Oryzias latipes: one gene and its partners. The protein of the gene in region 2 interacts with the protein of the main gene of each other region in a pairwise test. Links are inferred from orthologs where the notes say so. Each region holds a gene or a part of one and is shown on either strand. Other genes may lie near its edges. The genes, in order: srebf2, nfyc and dr1.

Region 1 (10,540 bases), on a different chromosome or scaffold from region 2:
GTGTTCTGGATGGGCGTGGTAAGGGTGGTGATGCCTGCAGGGTTCTGCATGGTGGACAACACCTGTGTTCCATCTGGTTTGAGGGTTGTGAGAACCAGAGAGTCCGTCTTCAAAATCTGAGGTTGTTGGACCAGAACCTGGAGGGAAACAAATTCCAACCCTGAGTGAAACAGGAAAACATATTTCCTATTGGTTACAACAGAGGAGTTACTTACCGGCACCTGCTGCACTTGTTGCACCTGCTGTTGCATGGTGTGCACTGTGGTGGGCGCTGTGGAGAGAGTCTGGATGGTCTGACCAGTGGGCGTCAGAACGCGCTGATGCTGAATGGTTACTGGCTGCAGCTGGGGAGACGTCATGATGCTCTGCATTTGTGGCTGCAAGACTAAGATTTAAAAAAAAAAACATTTCCTTCACAATAAAGTGGAAGCTCGACAACCCATAAGGACAGCTAGGACTAGAAATATAAAGGAGACTCTTTTAAAGTCTGAACTTCATGCAAACAGCATCTCCCTTTGTAGTCACCTTGGAAACTATGACCTGGGCTCTGATGGCAAATGACGGAGTTCTGGATAAAACGGGACTGTCCGGCATTAGAGGCAATCATGACGGTTTGTGGAGCCTGCGTCTGGATGGGGAGGGGGGTCTGGCTGTGGGTCTGAACCAGGGTGTGGACCGGGAAACTGTGAGTCTGCACAGGAACGCCCTGAGTGTGCACCTGCAGCGAAGCAAACAGTCTGTTATTCAACAACACTTTCATGCGTCTCGAAGGATTTGGAATAGAGTCTCCAGAGTTTCTACCTGGATTGTTGGTTGGGCCGTCGGCTGTGGCTGAGGCTGGATGGGTTGGACAGCCGGAGGCCGCGGCTGCAGCAGCGGAGGACTGCGCGTCACCTGGTGCTGCTGTACTGTGGCGGCTGGGATGGTGGGGGGAGACTGTGCAGGAGTGAGAGGAGGTGTGGGGGGTACACACTGAGGAGAGAGAGACTGGGAGGAAGCCAGGCTCGGGTTAGGACTCTGATAGACGGCTGCAGGTGGAGTCTGATGGGTCTGAGCGGCTGCTTGAGGGGCGGAGCCGGCGCCGCTGCTCTGCAGGGAGCCCGCTTGGGTCATGTGGTCCTCAAACAGGTCTGGGAAGTCTCCCACCTGGTTGCTGACGAACTGCAGCATCTCTGAAGAGAAACAAACATTGCATCAAAACATTAAGGCCTTACACTTATTTAAACTCAGATTAGAACGACCATTTCCTTCACTAGATGCAACTAAAACAAATAAAGAAAACGGAATTTCTTTAAGCTCAAAATGCTATGAAAATGAATGTGGATTTGCCTCCAGGTAGTTTTAAATAAAGCTCGTTGCACAAGACGAAGAGCGTTTGCACGTGTTCCTGATGTGACCTTGAACCGACACATAAACAGAGCTACTGTTCATAACCTATCCATAAAAAGCAGCCTCCACAGGTATCCTTGATTAACCTTAGAGGAAATGTGGGGTGATATGGTTGGAGGGAGGTCACTCCAGTCTCCATAAATGTGTCTGATGAACCACTCCAGAACACAATAACTGACTAAATGCAACTCGATTCAAGCTACAGCTGCAAAAATTCTGTTTTAAATAATTAAACAAGGATCTAATAATTAAGAATCAATTTAAAAAAATAAATTATTCATTCATCCATTCATTTATTCCTTCATTCATTCCCTTCATTCATTTATTCCTTCATTCATTCATTCATTCATTCAACCCACAGTAGAGTCACAACAAAAATGTTTCAGAATTCCAGCACAACATTTGTCAAAGAACTGCTGTTGTGCAACTCAGCAGACTTTGGAGCTTGAAGACTTTGGCAAACAGCCTCTGGGTTCGTGACAGTGACGGTCCCCACGCCACAGATGGAGCGCGTGGCTTCAACTGTCAGGGTCACTACTGCTCTGCAGCCTTGAACTTAGTCCTGCTGCAAAGAAGCGAAGAGGACAATGCAAACGACAAGGCATCCATGGACGCAGCTGTGAGGAGCTGCATGCCGTCGTCTTGGGGATTTCTCTTTTTTCAGCACCACAGAGTTTTTTCTTAAAGGGCCAACTTAATAATTATATATGAAATGTCTAAGCCATCTACAAAGATAATAAAGTGCTAAATTTGTTTGCCTAAAATCTACCATAGAACCAGTTTTGCTTAAAGTAAAGTTTGTTTAAGTGCTTTATGCAAATGTATGCAAATTTACGAGTGAATAAAACTGAACAAAGGTCGACTTTTCATGAGTAAAATGATAAACTCCTGCATTAAAAACGATCAGAAACTTCTTCATTTAGCTCAAGAAATTCAGGAAATTATATGAATCAATTGTTTTCAAATAATAGTTAATATTTACTGCATTTTCTGACAGAAGATTGATAACATTTTGATTAATTGATCATTACAACTCAGCTCTCTCTAAATAATTTATTCATTGTTAGATTGCTTTAATTAAAAAGAAATAGGCAAATGTCACATTTAAAACTTTCTCTCTTTGTGATGGAAATTGTAGATCAGATTAATCATTTAGTAAAGACGCCAGAACTGTGACTTTAGATGTTTAGTTTGTGCTGAAATAAACAGTAATTTGATGGAATTGTACGGCTAAACAGACTAATTTGCATTAGCAGAACAAACCAGACTAAAAATAACAACCTGCATTTTAGATTAAGATTTGAAATGATTTCAATGAAGATTTTAAATGCTAAGTTTACATCTATAAATTCGATTTGTTGCAGATTTTACAGTCCTGATATACAATAATACACAGCTGATGGGGAACAATAAACCACCAATGTGCAGCAAAAAATATGGTTTCTGTGCTTGGAATTCTCCTAAAACATAAAATGACCCGTCTATACGATGATTTTAGGGAAAACTTCAAATGTTTTATTCAGTTATGTTGAATTACCATTTCTTCAAATGACCTAAAAGTCAAACCCAAACAGGAACAAACCAACCATGAGTGAACAGGAGCATGATATTTGACAAAAAAAAGCTGAACAAAAGCTACCCACGTGTTAAACTATCACATAAAAGATATTTAAAATAAACAGAATTTTAAGGTTTGGACAACAATCTATGCTTCCCTCTTCCTCCATGCAACCCCTAAAACATAATTTACATATTTAAGCAGAATGTAAACAGTGTGAATTTTTTTTTATACACAAAGTACCTTATTTAAAAGCTGTAAACCAATTACAACTACCAACTTCATTTGGTGTAATAGACCAACAAAATTCCTTCTGAAGAAAGCACTTTGAGTAGAAAATATTTTCTTCAATTTTCTGTTAACTTTCTGAAGTTGTTTCCTGAAACAGCAGTATCATCAGCAAACAAAAAAATGAATGCAATTTTTTTTTCATACCTTATCATGACAGTTTGAATAAGAAATATTTATTTCACTGTTTGTCATGCCATTATTCAAAAATATTCCTTCAATCAAGTTTCTTGGAAAAAAAACAACAACTGAGGATTAAAAATATGCTTCCGTAACAGGGTTTCAATTTATAACCACGTGTGCGAATACAGACACACTGAAATTTGGAGGTTGGGACCAGAATGAGCAAATTAACAAAAACAGAATAAAAATATTTAAAATGCAAAAAAGCATTAACAGTTTTAAAAGTGCAACTTTCACCTTTTTTGAATAATCTAACAACTGCTTTGTGTAAAACCTGTTTCATGAATAAGCTAATTTGGGCCAAAATACAAAACAAGATTGTAAAAAATAAAACAACTTTTAAATCAAAGTATAATCTTGTTTAAATAAATCTCATAAATTCTTTAAACTGACAGAGTATTTCACAAATGTTAGCTTTAAAATCTTGTTGAATCAATATTTTACAAATGACAGCAGTTTGTGTTTCTAATAAATGTATAATGTAAATTTTATAATCTAAATATAGGAAATTCATTTTTAGCAGGATCACATACATTTTGAAAGTCCAACAAACAAATCCTTCAAATGATTTTTTTAATAAGAAGGATGACAAAGCTTCTGTTAAGGTATAAATTAATCATTTTAAGACAATCTGGCTAAGATCTGCAATTTATAAAAGCATTTGGAAGAAGTCCTTTTCTTCTATATCTTTAAAACTGGTCATTTTGTTTGCAATTTTATGGCTTTGTAGCATCATTTGATCTTAAAATAACTTGTTTTCCTACTCCTACAGAAAATGTCACGATGGGCAGTGAGTCCTCAGACTCCGCCGGTCACCTGTGGCACATCGGAAAAATGTTGTTTGCCCTTTTTTTGGTTGTTGCCGGGGGAACGCAGACAGTAAACAAAGCGTATAAAGCAATGATCCTTTGTGTCTTAAAATAAACAACTTCATCTCTGAGCGTGTGTTTAAAGAGGTGCAACAAACGCAATAATGGTGTGAAAGTTAGACATAAAGCAGTTTTTTGAACGCATTCTCATGCAGACATGCTCGTCTTCATCCGTACTGTGCAGCAGACGGGACAACACTTCTCTGAGCCTCCAAAGCTTTAAACAAGCAGACACAAAGTAAATCCATCAAAAGGGGGAGCTGAGAGCAAAGAAAATACGTTATGTAACCAACAGTCGAAAAGATTAAAAGACAGGGAAGGGAAGCCAAGGATTTAATCATACAATCAAAAAACAAAAAATGACTTCTAATGTGAGCAAAAGGCTTTGAGAATTTAAATGCATGTAAGGGATGAGAGCTTTAGAAGGTTTGTTTGTTTTAACTCAATGATAGATGTTCTGCTGGTGGGTGCTTTAATGTTTCTTCACCAGTTTGCATTGAAGCAAAAACCAAAATGACAGAATTTCAAAATAAAAGAGCAGTTTCTCACTGCATCTTGATGGTCTCTGCCTCATAATAATGTTATACACCTAGTACCATTCTATAGTTCTCTATGTAGAACACACCCACATTTCATCAGTCCAGTCTGGTGACATTGAATGAGATTCCACACTAATGGGGATCTGGTGACTAGTGTTCAACCAAAAGCTCTGTCCTTTTACCCTCTGACAGATTTGCCTTTGACAATAGTAACAACACATCTGTCTTACCTATCAAAAAACGCAAGGAATGCAGACATCAGTGCAATTCTTAAGTAATTCCTTCATAATAAAGCTGGAAAATAACGACCACAACCTTTTCAACTGTCTTGTTCTTTCTTTAAATATTTTTCATTTTGCTTTACCAATAGAAGCCTATGTTCTGCTAATATTATATTATAATTTTTATGCTATCTTCCTTCATGTTTTATATAAATAATAAACACACAGGTGATGCTTTCTCAGTTTTGACTGACTGGTATTCCTCGACAGCCGCTTTGCCTCATTAAAAAAACGTCAGTTTTGAAAAATGACACTAGTTTGGGTGAATTTCTAGTCATTTTTAATCTCTAGCTTTTTTTTTTTGCACCTTTAATTTAACAAATAACGAAAAATAGCTTTTGTTTAGTAAAATATTGAATGAATCCAACAGGAAACGGAAAAGCAGAGACAAGTTTACGTGTATTTCCCACAAAAATAAACGTAGCTACAAACTAAATTAATAATAAACCCTGTGTGTTAAGAGCTACTGAAATATCTTAGTTTTCTAGGCTTAGAACATATGTGGAAGACGGACACTTACTATAATTAAAAAATAATAACAACACCTGAGTGTGTTGACAAAACCCAGTGAACTCACCGTCAATGTCTCCTAAAGTGAATTCGTCCCCTAATTCCGTTAAGCTCGGGTCCATGTTCTCCACGGTGGAGATGAACTCTCCGGTGTCCATCCTGACAGCAGCAGCTCTCCGGCACTCTCCCGCCGGGGGTTGCCGGACACGACACTCACAAACCACCGCCTCCTCTGAAGGGGCCCTGCCTACAGCTCAGCTACCGGCTAGATATATTTGTTCCGTATCGAAGTAGTCGTAACACAACAATAAACCGCCAAAAGAGGCTGACTTTTACTCCGATAAACACTTTTACATCGATTTACAGCCAAGGCGACGCCATCTTGTTTTACGCTAATTACGTCATTCACAAACATACTCCGGAGCTGAAGCCGGGATCTGATTGGTGGAAACCTAATTGTTCTTGTCATGGGACCAGTCATCAGTGACCAATGACAGAGCGGGATTTACCGTGGTCTGATAGCACGTCAACCATCAGAAGCCTGCGTGTCATTTGAATAAACCGCGCCCCCTGTCTTTATAAAGGAAACAGGAGCAATGGAGAGTCTGATTCGTCAGGCGGTTACTATTTATGAGTTTACATTAATACTGTAATTAAAAGCAGCGATAGAAATAAGCTCAACTTAAATCTTAAAATATTTACTTATGCGAAAATCAAATTTTCTGTTAATATGTGGAACTTTTGTCATTTAATTATTGAATTCTAACCATTTTCTGAATTCTATTTTAATAAAATATTTAAATGATAAAAACGCATATATTTAAATAAGTATTTTTAAAGAAACTAATGCTTGTAAAACCTAAAATAATATAAAACTTGTATTTAACATTTAAATGTGTTCTTTTTTTGCAGTATTCAACAGTTAATAAAGGACTGAACAACAAGCTTGTATATATACATGAAGAATAAAAAAGGCAAAAAAAAGGGTCTAAAATATAAGAGCGGTAGAGTTTATCCTGTCACCTCACCATTTGGCTGCTTTGTGTTGCGTGTAAATACCGTTTCGCACATTTACTCGCTTGTAAAGCATCGGTGCTACATCAGCACAATAACTCACCCAGTCACAGGTACCGTAAGTCTACAAATCTGCAGTGTGAGAAGTTCATTTGAGCAGCCTTCCCATTCATAATTAGCTGTGTTCCCTCACAACGTCCAGCTCATCCTAACCTGCCATGCAGCCTCCTCATTTAAACCTTAGTGGATATAGTGCTCAGGTTCAACTGCAAGTAAATTAGAAACATCTAACTGCAATGTTGTGGTACACTTGACTCCAGATTTTTTTTTTTGAATTATTTGTTTATTATTTTTATTTATTCGTTCATCTTCTTTACTGTTTTATCCCTTTCAGGGTCATTGGACTGCTGGAGCCTATCCCGGCTACTTGTGGGCAAAGGCAGGGGACACCCTGGACGGGTCGCCAGTCTGTCGCCATCACACACCCATGTACACTCACACCTAGGTACCATTTAGAGTCACCAATTAACCTATGAAGCAGTGGGAGGAAGCTGGAGTCCCCTGGGAGAACACAGAAAGGTCCTCCATTGATGTTCTGTTTTAGGTCTCCCAGCCGGGGGCCTTCTTGATGTGAGGCAAAAGCCTTTAGAAATAGAACATTAGAAGACAGGTTTAAGGTGTTTTATATCAAAAAACAGAAATAAATCAGCATACATTCAAGTCATTTTACATACTTTTTATTATTTAGTGCATATTGTGCTTAAAATACTTTTGTTCCATTATGTGGAGAAATGGTAACAAAAAACACTTAACGGTAAATGCCAGTTGGTAAACAGAATTAAATCAGTCATTTGAAAAATACATAATCGTTAATGTAGGAAAACTAAAGAAGTGCATGTTTATCTGTTAGGAAACATAAGAATAATAAATTTTAAAAATAATTTCCTGGTTCTAGATGGTCCAAACCAGAGGTAGGAACAGAAGTCCAAAGCTCCTGTTTGGGCTATATAATAAATGTTAGACAGTGTAGTACAAACACCCACTGTCATCTGTGAGTGCAAATAATCAAGTGTTTATTTTTCCTTGAGTTTATTTTCATGACATGATTACACATAATATTGATCATATTTGTATTTATCTAAATAGCAAACCAAAATCTCTTCAGATTATAGTTTTTTTGGGGTACAAATTCTGTTTGTTTCAAGCAAACAGCTTCTAGTGAATCACTTCAACTTACTAACAATTTGAAAACTTAAAAGTGAGAGAAAGCCACTGCATGTACTTATCATATGTACACAAGAAATGAATATGATTCCACTGCATAAAATTGGACTCCTAGCTTGAATTTATTTGTTCCAGTAGACTTCATAGGATGATTTCTCAGAGTAGTTGGTTCCTGCTGTTCCTGTACAACTTCTGACTTTTTCCTTCACCACCTTCACAACCAGACCTCCAGCCAGGGCGAAGCCTGCTGCAGCTTTTCCAATCTCAGCCACTGCGTTCAAAAGGCGAGAAGTTGTAGCTACTCTGCATCCTTGTAGCTCACTGCCAGTCCTAGCAACCACCGGAACATTTGCAGCTAAATCCTGAGCCACAGCAAAGGTGCCCTGATGAGTCCCTGCAGATATGGTTCCAGCAGAGCCTGCTGCATGTTCTGCCACAGCTGAAGTTAGCTGAGCTGCAGCTGCAGAGCCGGCATCTGCTGCTCCGACAGCTGCAGTTTCAGCTCCACTGAGAGCTGCAGCACTAAAGCTGCTTCCCTCCAGAGCTGCACCTAAAGCTGCACCAGCTCCCAAGGTGCAACCTAAACCTGCTGCAACCCCCACAGCAGACGCTCCTACTAAACTGACTTGCTGAAGGGCATCTAGGGCGCCCTCCTGAGGGCCGAGAGCCTCAGTACCAGCAACAGCTCCGATGGACCCGCCCACAACCACACCTGTAGCTGCACCTAACGCCACAGCAGTTTTTCCTGAGGCTGCAGCCACAATCGCACCAACCGCTTTCCCAATACCCGTACCTCCTGCAACCGACATTCCAGCAAGCTGACTGGCAGCAAAACCAACAGAACTGCCCACAAGAGAGACTCCAGCTGCAGCAGCTAACGGCACGGCAGCTCCAAATGCAGCCCCCACTGCCATGCCTGTGGCCCCAGAGGCCACCAGGATCTTAATTTTCTCCAGCACCTTTGGAGAAAGAGCCGCTTCCCTTCTGATGCGACCCAAGGATGAACGAAGAGTCCGCCGCTGGCTGACCGACCTGCTCCCACCCTGATGTCGGCCTCTAACATTTCCTCTCAGAGGAGAAAAGGGGTTATCTCTTCTTTCTTCTGTCCACCTTTCCACCCTAAAACCAGATTCCTCTCTATGATTTGGCTCCAAATCTTGTTTTCTTCGTTTTGGTAGTGTATTCTCGTCCTGATCTGAATCATCTGCAGGCCCTCGCTCCTTTAGCAATTTCGTCTGCTCGTCTCTGATGGCAGCCTCTGCCTCTAAAAACATCTCATTACTATAAAACCCTCTGTTACTCTGCTTAACCAATTTTTCCACTTTCAACAGTAGTTTCTGTATTTGCACTGAGTTGTTGGTATCTTTGTTGTTGAAGACATGGTATCTTCCTCCACACCTTGCAATCAGAGCTTTGAGGCCAGCTGGTGCAGTCTCCAGATAATCTTCAATCGTCATGTTTTCCAGGTCATCCCCTCTAGTGAAAAGGATGATGGTGTGATGAAGAACAGCAGCTTCTCCAAAGATCTTGATCAACTGGCAAACAGCCTGGTCCTCACAGTCTGTATATCGTCCTACTGGCACAACCAGGAGGAAAGCATGAGGACCAGGCGCAGAGATGGAAATACACTTGGCTATTTCTGCATGAGTCTCCTCCTCAGTGAGGTGAGTGTCTCCAAAACCAGGCATGTCCACCACTGTAATTCTCCTCTTACTTTCCTTTTTGGCAGCCAGTCCATCTTCCTCTGTGTCCTCTTCTACCATGACCTCAGCGCTACCAAGCTCACAGATCCGTGTGACAGAGCTGGCGCTGATCTGCGACAGGAACTGCTTGCGGCCCAGGATGGTGTTCCCAGACGCGCTTTTCCCAGATCCAGTCTTCCCAATGAGGACGAGTCTGACTTCCTCATTGCTTAAGGTTTTACCTTCTTCGTCCACCTCCATGTCAACAGGTTCTTCTTTCACTTTCTGTTCACCTGCAGGAAAAACTAGAAGAGACATTTTTATTTTGTAAAATAGTTCATCCATTTTCACAGCTGTCTTATAAAAGCTTAATCCCAACAGAAACAAACACCAGCTATAATACTGACTTAGTTTGTGAAAACAGCTGAAGCATTTCTACACTTTAATTGGAAAAAAATGCAGAAATTTTGTTTTTTTCTTGTTTCAATAACTGCATTACACAAAGTAATACTCCAATAATTACACATATGGAGTACACCATTTAGCTTATCCTGCACTAAAATAACCGAGGCTCTAAATTTGATTGGTAGACTCGTTTTTCTTTTATTTTCATTACAGTGATTTAGTGATTAAGGGAGAGAGAACTTGGTGGGTTTTTCTGGGTTAGCGTCACGCGCCTCTATCTTGTGAACTAGCATAAATGCTGTCCGCGGTTCCGGACGGTTCTGCACACAAAAGTCAAACAATTAGCTTCAAACACGAAGGCCTAAAACACCAACTATTCATTACTTCATTCATAACAACGCTTAACGAGGCCATTCAGTCAAACTTCAGATGTAAAGGTCGAGTTTGAACACATATAATCGTTAGAAATTGCACTAAAAACTTCAGTTATTTAACTAAGTGGGTCAGATACTAACAACATGATAAAAAAAACAGGTACCGGTAGAAGATGAATAAAAACAAAAACTTACCTTCTTCTTTAAAGTTTGAAGGCATTTGT
Region 2 (10,349 bases):
GAGATACATGCATCAAGAAAGATCCTTTGACAAACCTGGGCCGAGCAGAGAGGAGTCCCCAGGTGCTCCGGTCGCCACCAACATTTCTAACATCCCAGAGCCCTTCAAGCGTTTCCTGACAGGAGGTGTGATGAACGAAGGCCTGGCCAAAAGAAAAAGTCGCTTCTCTGATGCCACTCCAGAGGAGCTGGAAATGACAGGCCAAATGTAAGTGCAGAGGTGATGCAATCTTACAGGTAGAATCCATGTATTAAATGACGTTCATGTCTCGTTTTTATTAAAGGTTTCAAGGTGCAAGTAGACCTTCATATTCAGCTGCTAGAGAAGAGCCCCGACCAATGAGAGCAGAGCAAGGAGGAGCCCAATACTCTGGACATTATGGAGAATCGCGGGTGACTCTTGTTTGAGATTACAAGTTTTTAAATGTTTTACATTTGCTTTGTTAATGATAATGACCAGTTTCTTCTTGTTTTAAGACTCCTCATCATAAAGAGGGCTATCACCAAGGAAGTTCTGAATCAGAGGGTGTCTTTGATATGCTGGTAAACAACTAACGGTTTTTATTTCATCATGTTCTTGTGAAACGGCCATGAAACATGGCCTGATCAGTCTTTTGGGTCACGTTGTTTCCTTTAGAAAAATGTTGAAATTGAAGATTCAGAAGAAGCAGAGTTCCTGAAGAGCAAACTCGCCACCCTTATGAAAGAGTTCCAGGCCAAAAAACGCGAGAAGGGCATGGTATGAAATCCTTAATGTCCAATTTACTTCAATTCCCACACAAAGCAAAATTCTTTTGGTATTCAGGAAAAAGAAAAGTCACTCTGCTTTGGTCCTGCAGGCTCCTGGACCACATGAGAGAAACACAAGAGAAAGCTTTGATCACACACGACTGGAGGACCCTGCTTTTGGCAGCGGTCACAGAAGAGGGTGGAACCAGCGTGAACATATACCTGAGGAGCACTACCAGGCACATCGATATCCTGCTCATGAGGAACCACAGCAATCAGTCAGAACCCGTTATGAAGGTACAAGAAATTAGTTTTCCTAAAGCAACTTGTAATGGGTTAGACAATTAGGACTTTTATCAGAAATATAAAAAAAAAATTAAAAAATAACCTTTTTTCTCTCTGAAGTTGATAAATCCTTGCAAATTGACAAAAACATTTCTCATTTAATGTCTTAATCTTATTTTGATATTTTTAAAAATATTACTCAGATATGGGGGCTCAAAGAAACTGGCAAGGACCCTTAACTTTTAAATTTGAACATAATTTTAACATTTTAAGCTTTTTCAAAATGCCAGAGTTCAACGCAATGTTATTTTTTGGCAATACCAATATCTGAAATTAATGTGTTAGGCAAGACATCAAGGAGTAAGTGTTGCCTTTTGGATAATGGTGCTACAAGCTGCTTTTGTTACAATAAAAACATTTCTATTGATAACGTTTCAAGTCCTGCAGCACCCCCACCTGCTGGGAGCTTTCTGCAAGGACCCTAAAAGGGGACAACAGGTTACTTCCCCTTCAGAATTTCACCTGTAAATCAAACTTTTGATTGACACCCACTTTTTGATCTGATCTATGAGAGAGAGCAGAAGAAAGTGTTTTTCCCCCCCTTGATGCTCCACTTTAGATGAATGGGTAGATTTAAGTTCTGCAAATAGTATTCTGACTTGTGTACAAACCTTTCATGTTAGTTGTATTTTTTTTTAAACAATTCCATTGTGTTATTGTCAGGCACCGCCAATGGGGTGTTTTACTCTACAGCTAACAATAGTTCTCCTCTCTTGTTTTGTGCAGACGAGCTGGCATCTTATCCTGAAAGGTTTCAAGAACCCATGCGTCCTTCAGAATACCAGCCTGGAGTTGGTGAGAGTCGAAACTCCGGTGTGCCTCCTCATTTCATGGAAGAAGGAAGCAGGAGACTCGGGGATCCCAGCTACTCTAAAAATCTGGATAAGATCACGTCTGCCCTCCTGGAGCTTGTGGCTAGAAAATAACTGATGCCTCATTTAATGGAAAAAAAAAAATTAGACTGACGACGGAGTTTTAGGGCCAGTTTACAAAAAATATATATATTTTTTTTAATTTTGTCTTTTAAGTTGTAAATTTACAAGAAAGAAAGTCATAACTGTTAAATTACAAGCTTTTTCTCGTAAATTTACGAGTTTTTTTCTCGTAAATTTACATCTTAAAATCTCGTAAATTTCTGAGAAAAAAACTCGTAGATTAACGAGGAAAAAACACCAAAGTTTTCTGTTTATCGGAGCCTAGTTTGAAGATGAAATATGTGGAGCCTTTTGTGAAGCTTTATTGAGTTTAGTCGTTCTGCTCTGCAGCTACGCGGCATTCACTTGCTGCTGCTCCGTATGCTCACTTCCACTTTAAGTTGTAAAATTACGAGTGTTTTTCTCAGAAATTTATGACTTAAAATCACGTCATTTTACTTTTAGTTTTGTGGCCCTAAAACTCCGTCGCAGTAAAGTATCTTTGCCAGTTTAACTTAAATGTATTTAGTATTCAGTTTATTTTTGCTTTAATGATTTGTCACAATTTTTTTCTATGTTGTTGTCACAATAAACTATCTTCTACCACTGTCTTTTTTTTGTTAAATTACTAAGTAAAAAGAAAATAAATGTATTTTTGACTTTTAAATTATGTGTGCATTTTGGCCTAAACCTAATTAAAAAATGATTGCTCGACACATTTGTGTTTTTTAGTCAAAAAAATGTTACCTTGACATTCCATCCTATTTTATAGATGGGATTTATTATGCTGCTTCAGTTTGAGATTGCCAGATATTTTAGTTTATTGAGCAGGGATGTAATGAACTGCAAAAGTACTTTCAGATAATAGCTCAGAATTATCCGTTTTATGTTTTGTTGATTAAAAAGAAAAGAAAAACGAGGAAAAATACTAAATTTATGCATAGAAAACTAGTTGGACAGCAAGAGAAAAAAGTCAAAGTTTTGTAAAATTAGCATGACATTGAGCAATCATAAATTTAATGATGCAGTGTATTTGAGCAGTTAAATCAGAAAATGCAAATCATTGAAAAATTATAAAAAGATTCACCATCAAAAAGAAAAGTATTTTTCAAATTCATAAAGTGAAGAGTAAAACTTAATTTAATTTTGCCATTTATGCATTCTTAAATATAAAAGCTTCCTACTGTTGTACTGAAAACACATGTCATCAAAAGTATCCAGATGAAATTAAATGTGTGATAAAAATCGTGCTTGTAAAAAAACAGTACAAGTAAGTCTAGATACCCACAGACACATTTAAATGAAAACATTTGCATCCATGTAATCACATCTGTTTCTAATATGCATGCAGTATAGAAATATGAATTTATTACTCATCTGCATGATAGTTGTATATCTTTATAAAAGTTTTTGCTTGGTTGGTTTGGTTATAAATGTATTCTGTTCCACACTGGCTCCTCAACTGGAAATAAACTTCTTTGTTTGTGGACATTTTTAAATATTTATATACTTTCCCTTGTTAAGATTACACAAAAACTATGATAAACACTAAAAAAATATAGTTTCATCTATTTAAATACATTGAATTAAAATAATTTAATTGTTGACTTTATAAAATATTAGATTATTTATAAACCTAATTAAAAAAAACTATGTCTTATTAACGTTATTTTTCTTTGGTCAGCAATAAAATTACATAATTTGTAGCTTATCACATTAGTGTTACCATATGTTCAAAAAGACATAGTTTCATATTTTTAAGATTGACATTTTTTCCTGCATTTCCTGTTTGATTTGCATAATTTATTTGGCATTTATAGTTTTTTTTTGCATTTTATAGTATCAGGATGATGCCGTCGTGACCTATACGTCATCGCGTTCGTACGTTCATCCCTTTCCGGTATGAGGTAGCAGCCATCTTGTTTCCCTTTGCAAGCTAAATAAAATAAATAATACGCCGCACTGGACTTCACCGCGAAGCCGCAAAAGAGCATAAGTAAGAAATTAAATTTCATTGATGTGTTTGCCGTGTACACTCGTGATAGGTCGAAATTGCGGCAATTAATTGGCCTTTTTTCCATTTGCTGTTCTTGACCAATAGACGATTGTTTTGGGTGATGAACACAGGCGCCATTTCCCTCCCCGCTCTCTGAGGCGCTTATTGGTGGCCCGCTGAAAGTATCATCGGCGGTTGGGAAACCACTGCTTTGTGTCCGCCATTTTGGTTCTCATTACCATTCGTTTTGTTGAACACTGGCTATTCCTATCAGACCCCGAATGGCGTCAGTTTCAGAACGAGCTTAGCCTTACAAACCTTGATTGGTGGAATCTAGTCCGAGGTTTGATTGGTCTGAAGGACAGACCCAAACGTTGTCTTTATTGGTTAGTCCGTTTCTTCCAAGATTTGCAAACTTTCACATGATGACAGAACTAGTTTGCGATTTAGTAATTAATATTACGACGAACTGCACGCACATTTGTAAGACTAGCCGTCTACAAGGTGCTAACACTAACTTCACTATCGGTACCGAGAAGGCACGGATGACCATTCTAAAGTTCACCATCGGCGCTTTGTTTGCCCTCTTTCCCCGTTAACTGTTTTGGCAGCCGAGATGTTTAAGCTAACACTACATCACATTTAATATTTCCAATATTTTAGCGGCCGTGGTTTAAATTTATTGCAGCGTTGTTGGGACTAAAACCTAGCGTTGTCTCCCGCCTATTTAATTTGCTTTGAGGTACAATTTCCATGAAGTTACCATCGTTTCAAAGGATAACAGGAATCTTATGAGAATATTATGTCTGAAATTCTAAGCTAACATATCTGACACTCGCTGGGTGGGTAAAATTGTGAAATTGCACTTCTAAAATGTTTGCAGGAATGCTAAAAAAATATGTCAGAGGCACAATTTATCTAAAATAAATAAAAAACTTTTTGAAATACTATAATAACTTTTTGCTAGGTGCAGCGGTGCTGCATTTTACGTAATAAATACCCACTTTGATCTAAATTATTTGAGGCTTTTTGATGTTTTGTTATCAGCGTAAATACAAATAAAAAACGGTCTTTCCTGTAGTTTAAGCTAACTTTACCAGTTGAGTCCAGGTTGTTATGTATTTGCATGTTTGTGGCTGAATGGCTAACCGCGAGGGTTTCTGTGTTTATCAAACTCACCGTCTGTTTTGGTGTATGCTTATCTCGAAAAAGCATCAACGAAAGCAAAAATGTTTCTGGTATGGCTGCAGAGGTCATGGGAAGGTTTAATGTGTTCTGTGACCTTGGCATATGTCATGACTTTTTTTTTTTTTTTGGTTCATCTACATAGAAGAAACTTGCTAATACATTTGATATCTATTGTTTTTTTAATTGGTTTTTTTTACATCTCGACTCCATGTTTAACTGGCTGCTGGAAGTACCTTTCCCTGTCTTCATGCTCCATGTGAAACTACAAAAAGGAACATTTAGCTCTGTTTCTTTTGAGTCTGTCATGTTCCCTCTTCCTCCCTTCATTTATTTCACCCCTCCTATTCTGAAACAATTCTCCTCTCTGTCCTTCTCCATCCTTCCAGTTCCCCTCCCCCTCAGGTTTTCATTGATGGTGCAGGTTTGCTTTCTATTCTGTTCTTCAAAACCTTAAGTTGCAGCAAAGTACAGCATTAGCCTTGTACTTTTGTACTTTTCTAGAGTTTATTTTCTGTTTTACATAGAGTTCATGAACACGTTTCTAGTACTAGGAAACCTAGTACCTAGCTAATATGGCATCAACTATCATGAGTTCTGCACATGAGCAGTGGAATCCTTCTTTGGTCTTTCAAAGTAAATGTTTTTGAGTCGAACGTGCGCACATTTAACCAGTGTGGAGCGCACAAGAAGGACATTGTCAGACATTGCTGGTGTGGTTTTGTGATGACGTATGAATTGTGGAAGTTGCTGTAAGCATAGTCTGAAGGGTCAAGACAACAATGTGTGTGTTTGTTAGCTCTCACTCGTAATCTTCGTCGTGTTTAACCACAAATAGAGGAATGCCACCATCTTCCACAGCTGCTCTCTCATCAGCTGATACATTTTTATTGATAAAATAATTCCGTTATTTTTCGTCCAGTTTTTACTTTTCAAACTTTGGGCTTTTAGGCTCTGTCAAGTTATTTATTTATTTTTAAATATTCCTTAATTTCAGCTTTTAAATGTATGTCCACGCAGAATATCAAAATATTTTTGCCGAACAGTGTTGTGAATTTTCTTAATACTTGCAGGTAAACCAGCAACAATAATAACAATAAGCAAATAAGAATAAATAAGGAGGCAAGGACAAAATGTGCATTAGTGTGGTTGTGCGTGTGAGCCTGAGTACACACATGAGACAAGGAGGCTGACTAGTATGCTTTTGTACTTTAAATCATGTGGATGCAACATGCGGCATTGATTCTGGCACTTCTCTCTCTCAGCCAGTGAGGTGTAGCCTGGCCGCCTGCATCACTCCGCAGCCAGCCTGTAGCAGCGGCTCGAAGGCGGAGCGTAGGGAGACATTTAGTTTGACATTGTAAATAAGCAGAGAGCAGTTGTCAGAGAGCAGCCCGTGGATTCTTTCCCATATGACCAGCGGGAGAAGAGGTAGACGCCGCTTGAGAACAAACCATGAAGAGGCAAGCCTTCACTAGCTCTTCCTCACACACTCCCTGAGGAGCTTTTTACAACTCCCCCCCCCCCTGTCTTTTCGTATCTACTTTCTCTTCCTCCTTTCTTTTCACTGACCCCTATCCTGCAGCTCAAGGTAACTTAGAACAGGAAGTTAGCTGTCTGTACTAGGGGGTTGGGCTAAAGAAAGAGGAATGGGAGGGGAGGAGTCACAGCTGATTGGTGTGTGAAGTATTCAATGGGAAAAGAGGAGCCCGTCCTGGCATTGGTTTTGTGTGTCGGCGGAGGTGGGATTTGGGCGTAAGGAGGGGTTTGAGTATCATGTAGCATGCTAGATTGATTACGCTTGAATGTTAAAGGGGAAGGAGGCTAGAGATTTTTTTTTGTCTGTGAGTCGGGAGTGCCGCTGTAATGTTAATCTGCTGGGATTTTCTTCTTTTTTTGCCCCTTATCACCCTCTTTTCTGCACCTGACAAGGGTCTTTCAAAGACAAACTTATGGGACAGTGGCCAAGGAGAGTGGAGGAAATCTCCGAGAATAACTAATACAAAAGAAAGACACATGTTCAGCAAGTTGAGAAGTGGAAGACGTGTCCAGGAGGACGTTGAGGGGACTGTTTGAAGGAGACTGAGCAATGTGTAAAATGAGATTGGAAGAAAGGGGGAGGGGTAGAGGCGTCAATGGTTTTAACTGTGTCCAAGATTATAGGTTTTTTTTTTTTAAAGGGACGTCCAGTGGAGCCTTTTGTGTGTTGATATGATCTGCAGGAAGTGAAGGAGCATGAGAGAGTTGTTCTGTCAACCTCTGCGCTTGCTGCTGCTCTCAAGGAGATTTGAGCAGGGCTATCTGTTTCCATCTATTCTGCTGTGCTCCCAACAGGGCAGATCATTCACCATGAAGGACACGGCGGTAAGTGACGACTCTAGGAACATCTGTCAAGCAAAAGTTTCAGAAAGAGTTTCAGAAAGAATCTGTTTATCTCTCTTTTCATTTCTGGATGGCTTTCCATCACTCTGTGTAGCAGAGAGACAGTCTGTCCTTGGAGTTGTGTGCATCTTTCTTCCATGTCCTTGAACTGTCACTTCACTGCAGCATTGATGCTTTTTATCTTAAACCATCTGTAACTGTTATTGAGTACCTATTTAGGTGTTTTTCTCTTTTGAGGTCAAATTAATCACATAAGGTCAAGCCTTTCTATCTTTACATTTCTTGCTTTGACTTTAAACTACCATGAATTTTCAGTTTATACCCTTATTTTGATTACTTTTTAAATGTTTTTTCCCCCATTCTGGACAGATGAGTGTTATAGGATCACTTTTAAAGCTTAAATGTTGTATATAAAGAGCTGTGCAGATAGCTCTCAGTGTTGTCACATTGTTGGTGTCAGGGGTCCCCAGGGGTGGAGGTGCAGCTGGTTGCAGTGACCTCGGGACCCCCTACAGCCCCTCCTCCCTGACAGCGCTAGACGCCCAGATGGGACAGACTGTCAGCCTGTCAGCTTCAGGGGCAGCGGAGGCTAATAGTTTGATCTGATCTCTTCTGATGGAGTCTTCGGAGGATGCCTCTTTTTCATAGCGACTTCGCTGTCTCTCCTGCTGCCTACAGTGAAACTTTCTGTTGGTGCCTTTTGATAAAATGGAGCACCGTCGGGGAAAGAGGAAAAATAGAGATTGAGAGAGGGAGACTAAAAATAACTCTTAAGTTGAAGCTCTTACTGCCAAATCCCAGGGTTGGCTGCTGTCTGCATGAGATTTGAATATCATTTGTGGCCTAAGCTGAACTATAGATACACGAGGGGAAAAACAAATTGAGGAAACAAGTCACCCAATCAGCTTTCGTTAAGGTGACCAAAATGGCTGTGTGCGTCCTTGGCCTTTCTGTATTTCTCACGTGTGTACACTTCTGCCTGGAGGCTGGCAGGTGGAGTCTCCTTGTAGTATGCAGGTACCTTTTAGGCCTGCCTACTTTAACGCCAGTAACTGGGCTTTACGTTGGATGAAGGTCACAGGAATGTGAGAATGTCTCCAGCAGGATCTCCGTCAGCAAAGAAATGTTGATGAGTGGAGGAGAAATCCACAGAAGAATGCTGAATGCAGTTAATATGTACACTGTGCAATGTTTTGAGTTTTATATGTTCAAACCTTCTTGGAAAGCGGGAGTCCTAAACCGTTAGGGTCACTTAAGTGGCGCAGTGAAAGTTGAAAAACCTGTCCATTTCTGCCCCCCCCCCCCCCCCCCTCTCTCCGTCTCTTTCATCTCTTTCTCACCCTCCTCCCTCGCTGGTCTCTTTTCCCCTCTGTCAAATGACCTTGGGAGATCAGTGACTAGCACTTCCTGGAGTTTGCCTGAAGCAGAACCAAGGGCAAACTTAAACCGGGCCGTTTGGTCAGACAGTTTGGTACAGCCAGATCCAAAAGGATAATGTTGCACTGCAGCCCGCAGTGATCATTACTTTTGTTGAAGTGTCCTCCGCTCCTTTTTTTTTTTTTTTTTTTTTTCAATTTACAAAAAACTTGCTCCAGTATTTGTCAAATTATTGCATGTATCAAAGTACCGGTAGTAGTTTATAATTTTAGACTGGGAACTTTTTTCCCCCCACTTTCTTTCTTTTTAGGAGTAAATCATTTACCCAGCATGCTGTATCCATGCCAGCTCGTCTTTATGTGGCATCTGTCAGTACTGTTATTTATGCATTTCGTTGTCAGATAGTTCCCTATTTGGGAACAAATGGACTTTAATGTTTGGCCATTTGTTCCCTCTAAGATATGGGGAGAATTAAGCACTTTTTTTTCGTTTTGGAAGCGTGACAGACAGCTTTCCTGTAGGACTGTGAGTTTTAAAAAGCTGTCCAATAGGAAATTTCAGACCTTTGGACACATTTACTTTACAATGCAGCGATTTCGAATGAAAGCTGTGTACAAATAAATGATTTGAATGTTAACCCATGGGGATATTGACTGATGGTTTTGATTCTGTCTGCTTGGTTCTTTTCACAAATTTAACAAACATAGAATAAAAACACAGTATGATAATGTTTTCAGTTTTAACAGTCTTTTTTTAAGGCTTTTATCCTTGAGATAAATGGTAACATAAATTTGCGTGACATCAGAGCAGCATTGCTGTTACCGGTCACTCAGTGCGACCTGCTAGAAACCAGGAAGGAGATGAGGATGAGGTGGAAAGATGTGGGACCAGGCCAGCGGAAGAACATTAATGCTGATCTAGCTGCTGCAAGCAGAGCGCCATTGACTTTCTCCAGGAGGTTGGGTGAGGGCAATCGGGTGAAAGTTAGTAGACAAAGGAAATGAGAAACGCTCAGGCACAGAGTAGGAACTAATGGAGAAGAGCGACTAAATGAGGAAGAGCTAGTTTAGCTGTGTGTTGCTAAAGTTGTCCAAATGCAAAGGTTTGCTTTAAAGACATCAAACGGAAGTTTGTAGGAAATTCAACCCTGTCAATTTTCTATCCCTGTGACCTGATGAAGGACAGCAGCACTGCAGCGACGAGGAACGATGCGCATCAATGTGGGTCCTAATATAGCATACAGTAGCAGTTTAGAACAATGTAGCACAGACAAGTTTGTCTGATTCATTGGACAGTACAAAGGCCTTAATCAAAAGGGCTCTCATAAATGGCATGTTCTCATTAAACTACATGTATGAGGTGTATTTATAAAGACTTTAAAGGAACAATAATATGGCAAGTTTGCTCACAAGCTTGGGTTTG
Region 3 (10,514 bases), on a different chromosome or scaffold from region 2:
CACTAACGATGACAAATGTTTTCTCTTTGGTTTATACTTATTCTGTTATCTTATAGGATATTGTTTTTTTTGTTTTTGTTGTTGGAAAGTGTTTTTATAAAGTCACATGCATTTCATCCATCCTTATATACAAGCTGTGGTTGAGTTCTTTCCTTCACTTTGTCCTTCCAGGCTTTGGCATGATGGTTCTGAATGTTGTAAAGATTACTCCACAACTCACTAATGAGGCCAGCCATGGCTCTGGACCCCCCTGAGGGATCTAAAGGATCAGTGTTTTGTCAAATGGGACAATCTGAAATGTGACTGAAGAATTGAATCACCAACCCTTTCTCTGAAAGGCAACTGTGAGCCACAGCCACCCAGGATTATTTCAAATTCAGTCTATGTGGAGTGGACTGTGCTTACACTAGGTTTCTGGTTCCAAGGTGGGACAGATTATTTGGGTTTAATTTCTCCAAACAAAACAATTCTAAAATGGTGAACACCTTTCTTAGCACACCAAGCAGGGGTTAGGGGATACTTCTGCTGCTTAAAAAGAGATCATAGTTACAAGTTTTGGTCAAAGTCTTTGAAAATGACTGTTAATTTTCTAAGGACAAAAGATGCCTGAAGAGCCTCTAAAATCAAGCAGAGGTCATTGTGCTTATTATAAAACTACTTTTATTTAGTGACACAGCAACTAAAAACTGCATCTTCCACTGAATGTTTTTCTCTTGCAGTCTATGCAACCATGAGGGACCTGCACAAGGCTAAGCCACTGATAGATGCGGCTGGTCGGACACTGGGCAGAACCTTGGAGATCAAGAAGCTGGATGTTTGTGATGAGGATTCCATCAAAGATTGTATTGACAGCCTACCAGAACGCAGGGTGGACATCCTCAGTATGTCGACTCTAGGTTCCTTTCATACATGAGTATTGTCTTGATATAAGTGTTATGACGCACCATAACAGACTTATTGAAGTTCTTTTTCGTGCAACATCTTTTGAGCACACTTTGTCAACATGACCCCCACATTTTTATTTCCTGGTAAAAGTAAGCAATGCAGGGATGGGCCTGATCGGACCCATTGAATGTCAGTCTATTGATGAGATGAAGACGGTCATGGACACAAACTTCTTCGGACTTGTGCGATTGCTGAAGGAAATCCTACCCGACATGAAAAAAAGGAAGAAAGGCCACATCGTGGTCATTAGCAGCGTGATGGGCATTCAAGGTGAGGACGGCTGCAATGCCTAGTTGATCATTTGTCTGTGACTCTCTGACCTGTGATGTTCTCTGTTTTAGGGATTTTGTTCAACGACGTCTACGCAGCATCCAAGTTTGCAGTGGAAGGTTTTTGTGAGAGCCTGGCTATACAAGCCTTGAGATTTAATCTCAAGTAAGATACTCAAACACACAAGGACAAAATTGTTAGTAACTGTCTTTTAATAGACACTGTTTACATTGATGTACTTTGGGTTCACCTTTAATATCTATGGAGGTTGTGTTGGGCTCTTTAGTTAATTTTAAGTGACCATTGTTAGGTTTTTTTTTATTACCAATAGAGAAACATCATCAATTTTGTCTAGGCAAATATTGCTAAATATGTATAACAGTGAAACGACAAGACACCAGGTTTTCCTAAACCCCTTTCCAAATTACAAAAAACAGTTTCCAGTTTACACATAATTTAAAATGCCTAGTTACAAAAGAAAACCAAATTTCAACCCCTTTTTTTTTTTACCAGAATCCAAGCAATTGTAATTAAAACTGTGAACTATGTTTTTAGCATCAGTTTGATTGAACCAGGCCCGGTGCTGACAGAATTTGAACGAAAGGTCTATGACGAAGGTGTGAAGATCGATCTCAGCAAAGCTGACAAACCAACTGCTGATATGTTCACAAACATCTACCTGAAGAACTACAAGCAAATCTTTGAAACCCTTGGACAAAGTGCTGAAGACATCGCAGAGGTACACAGCCCCCCAAACATGCTCGTGTGTCAGTTATGTCATGTGTTTTGACATTCTGAAGCAAAGTTCTCTTTTGTTTTAGTGTTGTTGATTTTTTTGCTGTGTGTTTTCTTCTCAGCACACACTAAAGATCATCACCATGGAGAACCCGCCTTTTCGCCATCAGACAAACACACTTTACACCCCCATGACAACACTCAAATATGCCGACCCCAATGGTGACCTTCCAATTGACACATTTTACAAGATGGTGTTTGAGCACGACAAAGTCTTCAACGCTAGCCTTAACTTCCTCAAACTTCTGCGCTGGAGAAGTCGCAAGAGTTTCACCCTGGAAAAAGACAAGAACTGAGTGTTTCAGGATTTTAATTTCAAATGCAAAATACATCAGTGGTTCAGAATTTAAAATTACATTTTGAAAAGCCTTCTACAGAAGTAGTATTTGAATTGAGAGAGTATATGTATTTGAAGGCAATCTTAAATAAAAAAGGTTTGAGAAGTGTGTAAATTTTGATGCATGAGAACTGCTTAAACAGTTAACACAGTGGCGAATTCCACTGTGTTAATTAAAATTCACTTTAAACATGTTTAAATCCCACTTCTACCATCTTTTGATCTATTGTAAAATTGTTCCCAGTTATATTTTTCTGTTGCTCTCAATAAGCTGGCTAGCTTCTGTTAAAAAATCCAAAATTATTATTTAAACGAATTAACTAACACTAACAACAATATTTATCATAATTTCAAAGGAAGTTCTATTTCTTTATTAATTTTTCTATGCCACTAAATAAAGATCATTGTGAGAGAAACTACTGTTTGGCATTTTGAAATGTTTGTCTTTAGAAATTACATTAGATCAAGTTCTACAGGTAGAACTTGATTTAATGTATATTTACACTTTTTGGAAGTGTAAATATAACTTAAAAACAAAATGTTCACACATGGCAACGGGGCAACTCTAAGTCAGATAAAACAAAGAATAGTAGGGATGTAACACTTAATTAATTTATTTATCCAGATCAAAGTCTGAGACAAGTTGTTAATCAAATCGATAAATACCATAAGATCATTTCAAAATTAAATTGACTATAATCTTTACTGAAAAATACCATTTGGATTGAGGCATTGTAGGTTTATTTTACTGTAACTTAAAAATGACCACGTGCATCACAGTGGACAACACACACACACACGAGATGACAGCAAAACACTTTTGATTTAGCAAAGACGTGACCAAACAGTGTGGTAGAATGTTCTGATAATGTTCCATTTGTATTATTTTTTATGTGGAAAAACAACAGTAGGCAAAACTTTATGAAACTAAAATGTGAATGGATTTGACATTGGTACTTGATTACTGGCTTGTTTGTACACATATTTAATTTACACTTGATTATCTTGAAAGAAATACAAGGAATGTGGAAAAACTTCACCTTGCACTGTTAGTACCCAGGTATTTATCTCTGAGCCACATTGGTTGAATATTTGGCTGAAGATGTTCTGGATCAAAATAAGGTCAGTGAATCGTAATAAATTTACTGGTTCACTATGATCTAAAATTAACTATGAATCATATCAGCAACCACAAATTATATGAATCAAATTATTCTTAATATTAATGTTACAACTGCTAAAAACAATGCATTTGTAGATACATACTTTTTTTTTCTTCATTTAAAATAAATATATTTCCAAAAGTAGGCAATCTTAGAAAAATCAGAGATAATAGTTTGGTTTTGTAACGAAAGAAAAAAAAGATAATTACATCTGTAGCTCCCTGCGGAACAATTTCCAATCATTTGTTGTACCACCCGACTCCATCCTGGTGGGCACCGGAAATTGTTATAGCGCACACTCGGAGCCAATCAAAAACGCCCTTTGTCTGACGTCGTAACCGGACACATTTCAGCTAATGTTTGTACAGTACACAACTCCAAATTATAAACCTAAACAAAACATCTGCAATCAAATTTTGGTCAAGTTCAGGACTTACATATAAATACTCCAATTATTTACGAGTAGAACTGACTATAATTCTTGCGCTTCGTAAAGCAAACAGCTCCGCTTCATCTGCGCTTAATTGTTAGCTTAGCTTAGCCATGCTCTCCGCTTTCATTGGACTTGTGTGCTGCGTCTCAGTTTCGCCACGGACGACGGATATAAGGATATAATTTTTCTTCCCCCTCCCTTTTTTTACTGTAAGCTTCAGAGCAATCTTGGACATTTATTCGCCGATTAAATACGATATAGGAGCGCCGCTCAAGCAACAGAACCTGCTCATTGTTTGACATTTGGTTGGTAAGCTAGCCAGTGGGCTAACTTAGACTAGCTCGCTTGGCAACATTTCCATCGATATTTTCTTGAACCGTTATCTGTCTACTGTAACATGGACATAGAGAAGACAGTGAACGCGTGATAAATCTTCTCGAAGAAGCGGAGTTCCACTATTCTGTTCCTTTCCCCCCTTTTTTCATCACTATGGCTTCCTCGTCTGGAAATGACGACGACCTCACCATACCGAGAGCAGCTATCAACAAAATGATCAAAGAAACTTTGCCTAACGTACGGGTGGCCAACGATGCCAGGGAGCTTGTGGTCAATTGCTGCACAGAGTTCATCCATCTTATTTCCTCCGAGGCGAATGAGATCTGTAACAAATCCGACAAGAAGACCATATCTCCAGAGCATGTCATTAACGGTTGGTTCTCATTTACATGTATTTACCACCTCTTTAAATATCGCTCGTCCTTTATGTGGGTGGGTGTGTGTGTGTGTGTGGGGGGGGGGGGGATGCAAAGGAGCACGGATCCTCCTGCAAGCTTCACATCATAGAAAGTGTAGTTTCAACCTCGTGTTTCTGCACCACAGCCCTCGAGAGCCTTGGTTTCGGCTCGTACATCACAGAGGTGAAAGACGTGCTGCAGGAGTGCAAAACGGTTGCTCTTAAGAGGAGGAAGGCCAGCTCTCGACTGGAAAACCTGGGCATTCCGGAGGAGGAACTCTTGAGGCAGCAGCAGGAGTTATTTGCCAAGGTCTGATCTCAGAAAACTGCACCTTCAAATGTGGCTTGAACACCCACAATAATATTAACCTACAGATCATGATGAACACGGGCACACAACTTGTACTTTTCATTTGAGGTACAGAAGGGCTTGGTTTTGTTAACATTTTCAAAAGTTTCTAAACTGGTCATTCCATTTAAGGATATCAATCCCCTTTAAGATTGGATGCAAACAAATTTAGGTGTTTTAATAGAAAATACTTAACTAAGCTCATAGAGGAAGTATTTAAGATGAAAAAAAATCTTTTCCTGTCAAGTATTGTAGAAATGAAGACATGTACACACAAAACAATTTCAAATATCATATAGGCATACACATTTAAATCAACCTGAATGTAACTTCCTCTTTGAGTTATGCTGATTGTCCTGAAACAAAGCACTCTCTGCTCATTCAAAGTAAGTTAATGTGGCCCTTTCAGCTTTAACTGACAGGCCATGGTGTGTTTTTGCTAAAGGTTTTTTACTTTAAAGACCCACTCAAATAAAATATCATGTTTTTGGTGTTTTCTAAAATCTTCTTGTGGCATTTTTCTGATGATGGAAGACGTATCATAAGAAAAACAAGCTTCATATTACATTTCTGAGCATTTCTTCATTCAAATAGTTCTGAGTCAGGAGCAAACGACAAAATGCTGTGTGGAAAAAGCTACAATCGGCGGGCCACAAGCTTCCCTCTCTGCTCCATTCTGATACATCCTCTTGCAGACAAATGCATCCATGTACGTCTTTTTCCTCGTCTTAACAGGCTTCCGACTCAGCTATACAGCTGGAAATCCAATATTGCTTATCATTTTTGTCGCACTGGTAAAGTTAGGTTGGGGGTTTGAGGGGCTGTAAGCTAGAAAAATGCTACAAGAACATGTTAAAAACACCAAAAGCATGATTTTTATTTGAGTGGGTCTTTAAGGTCAGAGAGATGTATTTTGTTCACATTCCTTTAAAAAAAACATTTTGTTCCTATGTATTGCTTTGTTTGATTTGCTGCGTTGTATTTGATATTCATTTAATAAATATCCAACAACACAAGATAAACCTTTTTGAGAAGTTACATGTACGGTATATATTTAAAAAATTACCAAAAACTATTATTTCTGCAGTAACCGGCCGGACTCACTGCAGGTTGCCATGAGCTTGAATGGGTAAACCTGAAGTGCCACATTGTGTCAAGCACTCATGATAGAATGTGCGTCTTCTGCAGGCGCGGCAGCAGCAGGCGGAGCTTGAACAGCAGGAGTGGCTGCAGATGCAGCAGGCTGCCCAGCAGGCACAGATGGCAGCAGCATCTGCAAGCGTTGCCCAGCAGGCGGGCTCTTCTCAGGATGAAGACGAAGAGGACGAAATGTGACCCCCCCCCGCGACCCACTTTACTGTGTTTGAATTTAACGTTAGGAAAGTTTTGGTACACAAATCTCAGTTTTGCCATGAACAGGGACTTAAAACATGTTTGTGTACTTGAAATTTAGAAAGCTAAAGAAAGGGATGCGAGGGGAGAAACGGCCCCACATGCACATTCAAAGAAGCGTTTTTACCGGAAAATGGTAAAAATGGAAAGGCTGTTTGCGAAGTTTTTCATTAAATTTATATTCCCCTGGGTTTTTTTTTTCACTTTTATGTTCATTGTTAATTTATAGATTTTTCTTTACGTGTTGAGAGCACGTTCAAAGAGCAGACTTTGTGACAGATAAATTCACAGCAGATCTTTGCTCCTTCTGATACGGCATTAGAAGATCTGTTCAACTCATCCTTGGAGCTCAAACATGTTCAGAATTTCTGTTCAGGAATTTCCAAGCATCTGCTTTCTGCATCTTTCTCCCTTCTCGGTTTATTTGTCAAAGTGAATTCATGCAGCATGTGTGTTGGTATCTGTGCATCAGCGTCTGCCTGTGTACTGTGTAGGGTTAGATTTAGAGAGCATAGGCTAATGGCAGGACGCTAATGCCCATGTACTGCTGTTTGCTACATAGAGAACTTAAAAGGCATTATTGTTTAATTTTTAGATCATCCAGGCACTTCTTTTCCTTTAAACACCCACAGTATTGATAATTAGCAGCACCTACACATTTTTGTTTCATAGAACCAAAGATGGGGGATTTAACTTTTGTAGTTTTCTTTTCCTTTTTTAGATGTAGGTGCTGCTTAGTCAAGATCTTCTAAAAACCATGTCAAAGACAATAAACTTGAATCTCTGTGAGGCACTTGGGTGTCTAGGCTTACATTGCAGTTTCCATTCTAGTTCTTTTACAACATAATATATTTCCATCAGGAATTTGGGACATCTTTGGAAAAAACCAACCACCTTATTGTGATATGCATTTATTGTCTGTTCTACAGAAATGTATTCTTTCAACAATAAAATAATTTTTTATAGACTTTTTTTTTTTTAATCTTCTAAGATGTACTGTTCTGCTTGCTTACATTATTATGGTATCTTTTTCTATGACCTTTGTATAATAAAGCAAAGTACATTCTGCTTCATGCTTCCTAGGAAAAAAATAACAAAATAAAAATAAACTACTACATTAGTATATTTCTATCAACTAAAAGTGGCAGAACTGTGATCAAAAACAATGTTTCTGAAGTATAGACTAAATTAAACTACTGCTCAATAATTAGGTTAAATCTTGATTTTGAGCTTAATGCATTTTGTGGAAACAAAATGTGGAGTGGTAGAGTGGTCGACATATGAGTGGAAGGTCGCTGGTTCAGTTTCCGCTCTGCTTGGCGATGTGTTGAAGTGTCCTTGTCACCACTGAAACCCACATTGCTCCCCGGAGGTTATATGTTGGCGCCAGAGTTCAGCAGCAGAGCTGCTATCAGTTTGTGAATGGGTCTCTGACTGTAAAGGGCTTCTTAGAAGGTAGCAAACCGCTATGTAAATTACCCTCATATACTATTTACGTCACTTGATCCCGGCATGCTTTTCAAAAATCCATGAAAGCGAAAAACAGTTTTACTCTCAAACCTGACCTTTACTAATGAAATAAAATGTTTCTATTGCAACATTTACTGTAGAGTGAATGACAGCTGTTTATTCTGCTGTGGAGGCCACCATAGGCTGTTTTTTTGCTGCTAAAGTTTATGGAGCCTTATGCAATTGCACCTGTAACCCTTGTGCTATCCTAGGCACTTTAACATTGGGAGTTGGGTCATGTAGACCCACTATACAGTGCGCTAAATCTTTTTTCTTTAATGATTTGTGATCTTCACTGGTGTCCATGGATTACATGAAATCTTTCAACCTTTATCCACCTTTGTCATGGTTGGGAGAACACGTCAATGTAAGGGTGGGGTCATCTAAGATAGCGCAAGGGTTAAGCAGGCATCACCAGTCAGTGCAATATCAATTTGGTTATTGTAGGTGGTCCAGTCATTGCATGTTTTTACCTCAGAAACATCCTAGAACCTAGGGTTAACATTTAGAGTAATCAAATAACCTATGAAGCATGTTTTTGGACTGTGGGAGGAAGCTGGACTGCACGGAGAAAACCCATACATGCATGAGGGGAATATGCTAACTACACACATAAAGGATCCAGCTGGGATTCAAGCCAGAGCCTTCTTGCCATGAGGCAAGAGTGCTAACCACTGTTCCACAGTGCAGCCTGAGCTGGATCTTCTTACTCCATATTTGGTCAGAAAGGGAAACACTGCCCTCATTTGACAATGTAAAGGAACATCAGTTAGTGATAGGGGAGTAATGATTTGTTTTAACAATGATTCGATTCATATCACAATTTCTAGTTGACCATACAATTCATGGTCAATATTCGTTCATTTTGAATAATCCGATTCCCTGACCCAGAATCAACCAGCGTGACTCAGAGATAAAAACTTGCGTACTGAACAGTGGTAAATGGTAATGGTAAATGGCGTATACTTATATGGCGCTTTCTACCCTCTTTCAAAGGCCCAAAGCGCTTTACAGTCACAGTCCCATTCACCCATGCACACACACATTCACACACTGATGGCGGCTCCGCTGCCGAACACTGGCGCCAACCTCCCACCAGAGGCAAGGTGGGGTTCAGTGTCTTGCCCAAGGACACTTCGACACATGGGCGTGCAAGGCGGGAATCGAGCCTGCAATCTTACGATCATGGGTCGACCGCCCTACCGCTGCACCACGGCCGCCCAATGCAGGGGAAGCTCTCCACATTCCTTGCAAGATAATTAAGAGTACATTAAATATGTGAACGAACAAACATGTAAACAATAATTAATATGGTGCTAGTCTTATTAACCCTTGTGCTATCTTAGATGACCCCACCCTTACATTGACGTTTTCTCCCTACCATGACAAAGGTGGATAAAGGTGGAAAGATTTCATGTAATCCATGGACACCAGTGAAGATCACAAATCATTGAAGAAAAAAGGTTCAGAGGACTGCCTAGTGGGTCTAGATGACCCAACTCCCAATGTTAAAGTGCCTAGGATAGCACACGGGTTACACAGGCTTGCAGTTGTGTGGCATTTACCCAACCATGTCTGAGTGCAGAGGTCCTTCGGTCCCGGTCATGGTTGTGGTCTGTCACTGGCGGGGCTCCAATCCTGTGTCTGTCACAAGCTACTTGTAGTTCTGTGACTTGATGTTAGCCTGCTGATGACACTTTGAGACACCAAGTTCATCTGCAACATCTGACCGCCTACTACCAACCTGAAGGGGCACTATGGGAGGGGATGCTGCCCCCAGTATGTTCATGACTGTTTGAATGATGAAGTTGGAATGACTTACGGCTAAATCTGCTTTTCATACCGACAGAATGTTGAAATTGATGCCTCACTTAAAAGGTTCTTTTTTTTTTTTTTTTTTTTAGTCTCATCCTTTTTCTTTCTTCTTGAAAATGTTGCTCTGCTTTATGATGTGGAACATCCTTCTTTCGTACTCCTTCCTTTAATTGAATTCACCTGGCAAACTAATTATCACAGGTGTCTGAGATTGATTTAAGTGGTCCAAAGATGGGTTTAGTTGAAAAGCAAAGAATTGGATCTTTTTGACACTTCAAATACTTTTGCATAATAATTTGGAACACACTGTACATCTGAATAACTGACACAAGAGATTCTTGATCATTATTTAATCAAACATGGAAAGTAGTTTGTTTATGGAAGAAAACTTGGGCTGAAAATCCAAAAGTAGCAGAACCATTCATTCTAGCAGCGTCATGTGACACATTATATCTCCTAGGATGCAGAGTGTGGGCGAAACTGAAATAAAGACTTCCTGGGAGTCAGCTTGCGCTTTCTTTTGTGTGAACTCTAACGTGGCGCAGCAAACTGCTTCTGAAGCCGAAACACTTTCCACACGTTTTGCATGAAAATGGCTTCTCCCGCGTGTGAGTGGTCATGTGACAGGCTAGGTCGTTGCTGCGACTGAAGCCTTTGCCGCACGTCTGGCACGTGTGTGGCTTTTCACCCGTGTGGGTCCTCCTATGAATGATCAGGCTGCCCCTTTGGTTGAAACTTTTGCCGCACGTTTCACAGGAATATGGGTTGTCCCC

The links.
Region 1: the proteins of nfyc (region 2) and srebf2 interact in binary tests that used the Homo sapiens proteins (3 or more experiments, as listed by UniProt). The link is inferred for Oryzias latipes from reciprocal best matches to the Homo sapiens genes NFYC and SREBF2.
Region 3: the proteins of nfyc (region 2) and dr1 interact in binary tests that used the Homo sapiens proteins (3 or more experiments, as listed by UniProt). The link is inferred for Oryzias latipes from reciprocal best matches to the Homo sapiens genes NFYC and DR1.

Annotation. Positions count from the first base shown.
Region 1 is NC_019866.2:19,990,398-20,000,937, reverse strand, and holds the start of srebf2 (sterol regulatory element-binding protein 2), read right to left. Parts: upstream 6,028-10,540; 5' UTR 5,776-6,027; coding exon 5,685-5,775; intron 1,173-5,684; coding exon 802-1,172; intron 719-801; coding exon 526-718; intron 386-525; coding exon 216-385; intron 138-215; coding exon 1-137. Other genes in the region: uncharacterized protein LOC101155604, read right to left, coding at 7,978-9,842, 10,512-10,536.
Region 2 is NC_019869.2:22,270,189-22,280,537, forward strand, and holds the start of nfyc (nuclear transcription factor Y subunit gamma), read left to right. Parts: upstream 1-3,854; 5' UTR 3,855-3,983; intron 3,984-4,349; exon of another isoform or gene 4,350-4,369; intron 4,370-6,517; exon of another isoform or gene 6,518-6,631; intron 6,632-6,992; exon of another isoform or gene 6,993-7,532; intron 7,533-10,349. Other genes in the region: uncharacterized protein LOC101158462, read left to right, coding at 1-207, 284-392, 477-542, 637-738, 839-1,025, 1,800-1,999. UniProt on the Homo sapiens protein: Component of the sequence-specific heterotrimeric transcription factor (NF-Y) which specifically recognizes a 5'-CCAAT-3' box motif found in the promoters of its target genes.
Region 3 is NC_019862.2:24,024,950-24,035,463, reverse strand, and holds dr1 (protein Dr1), read left to right. Parts: upstream 1-3,814; 5' UTR 3,815-4,432; coding exon 4,433-4,652; intron 4,653-4,822; coding exon 4,823-4,986; intron 4,987-6,213; coding exon 6,214-6,360; 3' UTR 6,361-7,485; downstream 7,486-10,514. Other genes in the region: retinol dehydrogenase 8-like, read left to right, coding at 720-881, 1,036-1,215, 1,287-1,380, 1,771-1,954, 2,073-2,306; zinc finger protein 239-like, read right to left, coding at 10,245-10,514. UniProt on the Homo sapiens protein: The association of the DR1/DRAP1 heterodimer with TBP results in a functional repression of both activated and basal transcription of class II genes.